Canis lupus familiaris: one gene and its partner. The protein of the gene in region 1 interacts with the protein of each later gene in a pairwise test. Links are inferred from orthologs where the notes say so. Each region holds a gene or a part of one and is shown in the gene's direction. Other genes may lie near its edges. The genes, in order: BHLHE40 and COX5B.

Region 1 (4,379 bases):
CGCCAACAGCGCCGCCGAGTTCCCGGCAGGCTGGGGGGCGGCCCACCCCGGCGGGCACACCGCGTCCCTCCCCGGGCCCGGGGTCCGCGTCCCACGGGGGCGGCCGGGAGGGCCTCGCAGGCGGCGGCCCCGTGGCCCGAGCTCCGGCCACGTGAAGCGTCACGCCCGGTGCTGCCGCAGGGCAGGCGTCGCCGCCGCAGTTGTGTAACGTTGCAGCCGGAGGGGAGGCGACCCGGGCGCCTCTGCTCCGGAGGGGGCAGGGAGGGAGGGCACGTGGGCGCCGCGCCCGGGGCCTCTCCGCGCGGGCCTGGCCGAGGCGGGGCGGACGTGGGCCGCGGGACCCCGGGAGCGCGCGGGAGGGTGCGGGCGGCGCGGCTGCGGGCTGTCCCCAGCGGCCGAGCCCGGGGAGCCAGGCCCGCGGCGCACTCGCTCGGCGGTCAGGTGCGCGCGGCGTGCTCGGCGGCGGCCTCGGCTGCCCCTGCGCTTGGCGGCCGGCCCGCTTCCCATGGGGTGACATCCGCCCCGCCCCTCGGCCCCTCCCCGCGGCGGGCGATTCCTGGACGCCGGGCGCGGGGTGGGGGTGGGGGTGGGGGCGGGGAAGCCGGGACGGAAAGCAGCACCAGCCTCCGGGGAGGGCAGGGGGGCCGGGCGACTCCCTCCGCTGCGCGCCGGTTCCTCGGAGCCGGCCGGGCGGGGGAGGAGGAAGAGGGCTGGGCTGGAGCGAGCGAGGGGATATTCCTCTCCCGGCTTGAGTCAGACGCGGGCGGATCCGTCCTCCCCCGTTCCCTCCCAGGAGACGGGAACTTACTTCATTTCCCTGGGGCAGGTTCGCCCACGTTACTACCCCCCCCCCACCACCACCACCCGGGCCCGGCGGCGGCGGCGGCTCCCCGGCCCCTTCCAGCTTCCGCGCCCCCCGCCCGCTTGGGCAGGACCCAGGCCGCGCTGCCACCCCCTCTTCGGGGAAAGGCCGCCGCAGCCGCAGACACCTGGGGGCCGGGACTGGGGGTGGGGGCTCCCTCGCAGCCGCGGGAGCGTTGTCCAACACGTGAGACTCATGTGATGAAGCCGGGGGAGGGCGGGCAGGTCGCTCCTTCCCTCCCTGGCAGCGGCCAGACGTGCCTGGAGTCACAGGGTAGAACACGTAGCTCCAACCCACCCACTCGCTCCCATTTAACCCAGCCCGCAGCCTCTCCATTACTCCTCAGCTCGCCCCCCCACCCCCTCCGCCCAGCCGGCCCCCCCCGCGCTCCCTCCCGCCTCCCCGCCCGCCCCACTTCTCATTCACTTGGCTCGCACCGCGCAGACGGCGCAGGGAGCACACACCGCCAGTCTGCGCGCAGAGCCGGAGCCAGAGGCCGCGGGGACACCATGCACGCCCCCAACTGAAGCAGCACCTCAAAGCCGCAGCGCCCGGCAGCCCAAGCGGATTTCGGGGAGCTCAGACCCGGAGGAACCCTTGCGGAGAGACAGCCCCCCTCCCGGGAGCCCCTTGCAGGACAGTCCTCACCCCGACGTTCCGCTACTGCAGACGGGAGTGCACAGTGGCCCCGGCTCGCCGCGCCATGGAGCGGATCCCCAGCGCGCAACCGCCCCCCGCCTGCCTGCCCAAAGCTCCGGGACTGGAGCCCGGAGACCTACCTGGGTAAGTTGGCGCTCCCCGGCCCCTCCAAGCCTCAGCTCCGGCCCTGCGTTTTGCGCCGCTCTCAACTCGGAGCAGCTCCGGGCGCGTCCGGGGGCCTCTAACCCTCCAGGGCGCCTGCAGCCTTCGGGCACGCAAAGTCACGACCCTACCTGGCCCCTCTTCCTGCAGGATGGATTTTGCCCACATGTACCAAGTGTACAAGTCGAGGCGGGGAATAAAGCGGAGCGAGGATAGCAAGGTAAGACACACCGCGCCCCTCGGGACCCCAGCCCCAGGCGCGCGCGCTGCTGCCAAGAAAAGTTTTCGCACTTGGAGCTTGGCGGGGGGATGCAAGGTGTGGGCTCGGTGCTTCTGTGAAACGGCTTGGACGGGAAGGGGCAGAAAGTGGTTCTGGGTGTGACTCCGCGGCCCCAACTCTTATCGCGCCGCAGGGGAGGGGAGGAGAGGGGCTTCTCGCCCGTTTGCCCTGGCGCCCACCGCCTCCCCGTGCGCCTTGCAGGAGACCTACAAACTGCCGCACCGGCTCATCGAGAAAAAGAGACGTGACCGGATTAACGAGTGCATCGCCCAGCTGAAGGATCTCCTACCCGAACATCTCAAACTTACAGTAAGTGAGAAGCTGGCCCCGCTCCAAGCCAGCTCTTCTACCCAGAGGGCGGGCGGGGGTCACTCGCCGCCGCCTGCAGGCCCCACAGGGAACTGCAGACCAGATGGCCGGCGCGGGGCTGGCGGGTGGCTCTGTTTTGGGGTACCATTCCCCCCGGCTCTGGGATTTTTCTGGCAGCCTCATGCAAATGAAGTGAGAACCGCTTGGACTTCTCCAAGTTGGCTCCAACACCAACTAGCCTTCGTTTTCAAGAGTTTAGGTCTTTCCTTTCTGGTGATTTTCAGGGTTCTTTAGTTTTGCTGACTTGGCTAAACCAAGCAACACGCAGATTTTATTTACCCCCCTACTCTCGGCCATCCCCCTTTTTAAAAATAAAGAGGACTTGTTTGGGTGCGCGATTTTTATGTCCTGTCCTTTCTTGGCAGTAGCCGACAGCTTACTGGCTTGGCAGCGCTCGGTTGGGGAAAGGAAAAAAAAAAATAGTATTTGAGGAGGAAGTAAAAAGCCTGGATGAGCTGAAAGTTATGAAAGGGTGTCAGGAAAAGAAGCTAGGGGAAGCCTCTTGGCTGCCAGACACAGTAGAAGTCCCTCCTCAGGTTGACACCACTGCAGAGAAATGTTATCTCCGGATTCCCCTGAGTTAAGGTCAGCAGTGGCTGCTGGAGAAATTTATCTGTCAGAGCTTTCTCCTGATGCAGCCACCTCTTCCAAAAATGCCTTCAAAGATAAGTGACACTCATTTTTTTATTCTTCAGTCAGAAGTGTGTGCATGTATGTATACGGACACACACTTTTTAAAAACATCATCTCCAAATTTAAAAGTAAATATAGTCAAACAGGAAATGCTATTTCTTCCCTCCCCCCACCAACCCTTTAGAGATATGTCCCATTGCTACTAAGTGTCCCAGAGGTGGGACTTCTCTGAGCTCACTGCTGACTAAGGCTCTTTTTATTCCAGACTTTGGGTCACTTGGAAAAAGCAGTCGTTCTGGAACTTACCTTGAAGCATGTGAAAGCACTAACAAACCTAATTGACCAGCAGCAGCAGAAAATCATTGCCCTGCAGAGCGGTTTACAAGCTGGTGAGTGCCCGAGTCTGGTTATCATCACCTAAGAGTTGTAGCACAAATAGCCTCTGGGCTCAACATCTGGTATAAGAAACATTCCTACAACAAATTGCTTATGCACATTCGTTGGGGGAGATGTCATTTTATCTTTCCTAAAAGGTCAGACTTTTCGTTTGGAATGCTGCTGTGTGCCACCTGGCATGAATACATATTAGTCAAGTGGTAAAATATTTCCGTGGCATTTTGGTTTAAGGGTTTCTGGGTTCTGGGACATTTTCCCCCTCCTGTTTAAAATGCCAAGGCACCTATAATTTGTATCCTGGGTGTTTTACAGTTGGTCTTCTTAGTCCTCTCTCATTGGAGAGTAAATCATGGGTATGCCCCAGTGTTTTCCTGTTTCTCTACTTCCTTATCACTCTGTGTGTGGTATGATCCTGGCAGGTTGACAGCAGGAGCTTTTCGTACATTTCATGTGGTTCCCTGAATAGCCACTAGGTATCTTGGTGAATTGCACAATCTAATGAAACCACTGAAGTTTCATCATTAGTTTCTACTGACTTCCAGAGAATCACAGTCACCTTGTAACCTTCTAGTTTCACCCCTTCCAAATAATACTGTACAGGCTGGGGAGAAATTCTTCTACTCGCTCCCTCATTCCATTCTTCTTGCCCTTCTTTCCAAGACCCATGTGATGAGAATCCCAGAAGCCTAGCAAGTGCTTCTGCCAGCTTTCTTATTGAAAATAGGAAGATGATCGTACTTGATGTCTTGGGGCGTATAGATAGGATACGTGGAAAAGGCTTAGAAAGAGCTTTGAAATTTAAAGATTCCAGCACAATTGCAACTTTTTAAATTGAAAATAAGCTAACGTAGGTGACATCATTCCTTTATTCTTTATCGCATTCTATGACTGGTCCTGTCCAATCTTGCTCTGGTAAGAGCATCCTCTAAACATATGAGGATGTTCACTGCTGAGTCGCTTATAATGAAAACTCAAGAATGAGCTATAAATTCAATGAGCGAAAATAGTCCATCTCTATTAATTATGTTCTGTTTCTAT
Region 2 (4,319 bases), on another chromosome or scaffold:
GGTAAGAATCCTCCTCTCAGCCCGCTGAGCCCCAGCTACAGCCAGGCCCTGTGCTGACAGTAGTTCCAGGTGACCCATTTTGGATTTGTGGTATCTGCACAAAAACGTTTGATTTGTTCTGACCTGGCTTTTCAGCCAGAAGGGTCCTAGCTCCCACAAGCTGCAGGGGATTCAGCCACTTTATCATATCTTCCTCAGTCCTCCCCAGGTGGCCCTTGAGGTCTAGGCTATCCCTGGGTGATGCATGATCCCAGCAGGCCTGCACACAGCAACTGTCTCACCCCACCCAACACCCTTGTTATAATTAAAAATTGGCCCTACATATGTCTTTGTGAGTGGTCAGGGATTCTGTGACCCAGCCAGAGCAACTTAAATGCAAATTTAAGTCCCTTTTTTGACCCAATTTTTCAAGCTTGTGAAAACTTTGCCCAAACAAAGAACAATGCCTCACCCCCTTCCACTTTCTTGTGATAGATTCAAGGAAGAAGCCACATTTTACTCCCTTTGAATAGTGACCAGCCTTGGCCCAGGGAAAGGACTCAATATAAATAAGCTCCTTAACATTCAAAGAGTGTCTGCACGTCAATAAGATAAAGAACCTCCCCTCATAAGAATATGAATAGCCAATTAAAAAAGGTTTCATTTCTGAATAGGTAATACATCCATACAGTTAAAACTCAAAATAGTGTAAGAGGTCTGCAATGGGTCTCAGTCCCACCCCTGCCTTTGTGGCCCTGTTTCTCACCAACCACCACCACTTTCTCACCCCCACAAATACACAGAAGTAGCTACTTGTATTAACTTCCTTTCTTTTTTTTTTTTTTTAAGATTTTATTTAGTCACTTAGCACACAAGAGAACACAAGTGGTAAGAGAGGGAGAAGCAGGTTGCCCATCAAGCAAGGAGCCCCATGTGGGGCTTGATCCCAGGACTCTGGGATCATGACCTGAGCCAGAGGCAGCTGTGTAACCAACTGAGCCACCCTGGCACCTCTGTTAGCTTCTTTTGTATCCTTCTGGAGATCTTCTGGATAAACTCAAGCAACTGGGAATATATCGAATTGACCAATTTAAAGCCAGCATTAACTCAGCACTTACAGTGTATTAGGCAGTTCTGAGCACTTCATGAGTGTTAATTCATTTGGTCCTCACAACAGCATAAAGAGGTACGTCTTATGCCCGACAGAAAGAAAAGAAAACTGAGGCAAAAAGAGACTAAAGAGCTTGCTTGAGTGGCTAAACCGGGCAGTTCACAGCACAGGGAAATGCAAATGGCCTTATGAAGAGAGGCTCAGCTGCCTTGGAGGTCAGGGAACTGAAACTGCAAACACCAACAGCATCTTGTGTTTTATCCACCCAGCGGGCAAACTTTGCAAAAGGTGGGTAACTCACCTTGTAGAGGTGAGTTCTGGCACTCACATGCCCTACTAATGGGAACATGAATTGCTCCAAACTTTTGGGAAAACAATTTGGCAGAATTAATTGATGTTTAATATACACACCCTCCAAAATAGAAGGCTAGGTGTCCATAGACATGCACTGCAGCATTGTTTGATAGGCAAAAATATTCTGGATATTCATCAAGGGGGAAATGGGCAAATTACAGTAGATTTATAGTTGGAAATACTATGCAGCAATTACATATAATGAGTTAGATCTGTTTGTATTGATCTGTAATGTCCACAAAATATGTTTTTAAAAAGGTTTGTTTGACAGTGAGAGAGAGTGCCAGAGCATGAGCAGGGGGAGGGGCAGAGGGAGAAGCAGACTCCCTTCTGAGCAGGGAGCCCAATGGATCATGACCTGAGCTGAAAGCAGACTTTTAACTAACTGAGCCATTCATCTGCCCCCACAAAATATTTTTTAAAGAAGCAATTTACTAGTAATTTTTATAGTAATATATATTTTTGTAATCGATATTCACTTATATATCTGTATATTTTAAGAAACAGCCCTTATATGTGCATTTGTTTGAATATGTCTATATAAGCATGGGGCAGGGTAATTTTGCCCTCCAGGGGACAAATGGCAGTGACTGAGGACATTTTTGATTGTCACCACTGGGGAATGCTAATGGCATAAATGGTAAAAATCCTACAATGCACACGGGACTGCACCCCTACCCTGCAAAGAATTATCCAATCTAAAATATCAATGGTATTGAAGTTGAGAAATGCTGGTATAAAGGAAAAAATGGAAAAACACAAAACTGTTAATAGTGAACCTTTTCCTTAATTGTCACATATGTTTGACTTACTACAGTATGTAGTTATTTTGACCACTAAAAATAATCATATAAAAGCAAAAAAAAAATAATACTCTGAAAGTTTCTTGTTTTGGCAAAGACAATGATGGAGCAGGAATAGGGAAAACTGTTTATCAAGAAGACATTAGGAGTCGATATGAGCAAAGGGTGGAAGGAGCTGGAGACAGCAGGGAGTGGATAGGATACTTAGAGACTGGTCCTGACATCGGAGCTCACCTGCAAAGTCTGAAGAATCCCAGGTCTTTGTGAGCTGAATAAGGACCTGAAAAAATGTCCTATGATTAGGCATCAACCATATTTCTATTTCATAGGCTGGAGTGAACCATCTGTGGTCAGGCAGCAGGGAATCATAACAGCTCACAACTGCATTTCTCACTGGTCTGCTGAGACTTGGGTTAGGTGCTTCTTGGCAAAGAGTGGTCAATGAAGATAGAAAATCTCTGACATAAACCCCGGGTGAATTAAGCAATAACTATGCTTTTAATTTAATTAGGCTTTTGCTGCAGGCCTAATCAGAACCTTAATATGCTAGAATGTGCATCTCCAAGAGGAAGTTCATCAAATGCAGGACTTTCCAAGTCTTTTTTACCGAAAGCATCTACTGAGATTAGAATTCTGTGCAATACTTTTTGGGAAATACTAATCTAGTCTAATCAATTTTACTGATGAGAAAAATGGCCAGAAGAAAAAGTGACTGGCTAAGCCAGCTGATTGGGTACCATCCCAAAACACTTATATTTCAGACCAGTGCTTTTCCCCTAGCATTAAACATCAAACCATAGGTACAAATCAACTGTAGATTCTTGGGGAACATTCCTAAGATTTATGGAATTTTTAAAAAAAAATTTATTTATTTATTTATGATAGTCAGAGAGAGAGAGAGAGAGGCAGAGACATAGGCAGAGGGAGAAGCAGGCTCCACGCACCGGGAGCCCGACGTGGGACTCGATCCCAGGTCCCCAGGATCGCGCCCTGGGCCAAAGGCAGGCGCCAAACCGCTGCGCCACCCAGGGATCCCCTGGAAATTTTTTTTTTTCCAATTTAATTTGGAGCGGTTGCACTGGAGGTAAAAGAAGGGAGTCACACTGTAAGCCATTCAAAGAAAACCCACTTTTAAAGAGGAGTAAGAAATTTGCCTCAGAAGAGACTCTATATTTTTCTTGGTAGAGGGAGTGAAGTCCAGTGAAGACCAAATGTGCTTCTGTGAAGGAATGCTCCACCAGGTCCTTTTGAAAATGTAGCCTGCATGGGACAGATGGAAACACCTGGGACTTCAGCCCTCCCCAAGTTTACCTCAAATTGACCTCACTGGGCCAGTAGCAGCCCTAGAAAACTTGTTCTGTAGACTCTCTCCAAGAAGTAAATTGGCTAAAATTTACTTGATCCAATTACATGCTGGCCTTCTAGAAGCCACTGAGGATTCAAAGATGAATAGGGCATAATCATTGCTCTGAAGGGATTCTCCATCTGGTATGGAAACATACTGCACGGAATCAGATTAAGATAGGGCTGTGCTGACAATGTGAACCGAGTCCCAGCAGCCATGGGGGGGGGGCAGTGTTTAAACTTTTATTATTTTTTAAAGAGTTTATTTATTTATTCATGAGAGACAGAGAGAGAGGCAGAGACACAGGCAGAGGGAGAAGCAGGCTCCATGCAGGGAGCCTGACATGGGACTCGATCCTGGGTCTCTGGGATCAGGCCCTGGGCTGAAGGCAGGGGCTAAACCGCTGAGCCACCCAGGGATTCCCCAGTGTTTACACTTTTAAACGCCCACCCTTCTAAGAACCTTGCACACCTTGGCTTGTGGGCAACAGGAGCTATGAAAGATGTTTTCAGTATTAAACAGAAACCTCTGGCCCAGGTACCTTCGGTGACTTCATTTCCCATTCTCAGCTTCTCTTCTTGCTCTTTTTGTTTGTGGCAAACTATGCTCAGAGACTGAGATTGTATTTACCAATAATTTATTTAACACATGTTCACTCAGGGAATTAAAATTTATATTTCACAAGCCAATAGCATACAGGACCTCTTTATACGGCAATTAGGAAATA

What was found.
Region 2: the proteins of BHLHE40 (region 1) and COX5B interact in binary tests that used the Homo sapiens proteins (3 or more experiments, as listed by UniProt). The two-hybrid records come from large-scale screens. The link is inferred for Canis lupus familiaris from reciprocal best matches to the Homo sapiens genes BHLHE40 and COX5B.

The regions. Positions count from the first base shown.
Region 1 is NC_049241.1:12,720,696-12,725,074, reverse strand, and holds the start of BHLHE40 (class E basic helix-loop-helix protein 40), read left to right. Parts: upstream 1-1,327; 5' UTR 1,328-1,565; coding exon 1,566-1,645; intron 1,646-1,813; coding exon 1,814-1,883; intron 1,884-2,144; coding exon 2,145-2,252; intron 2,253-3,210; coding exon 3,211-3,334; intron 3,335-4,379. UniProt on the Homo sapiens protein: Transcriptional repressor involved in the regulation of the circadian rhythm by negatively regulating the activity of the clock genes and clock-controlled genes.
Region 2 is NC_049231.1:46,040,296-46,044,614, reverse strand, and holds the start of COX5B (cytochrome c oxidase subunit 5B), read left to right. Parts: upstream 1-1,278; coding exon 1,279-1,378; intron 1,379-4,319. UniProt on the Homo sapiens protein: Component of the cytochrome c oxidase, the last enzyme in the mitochondrial electron transport chain which drives oxidative phosphorylation.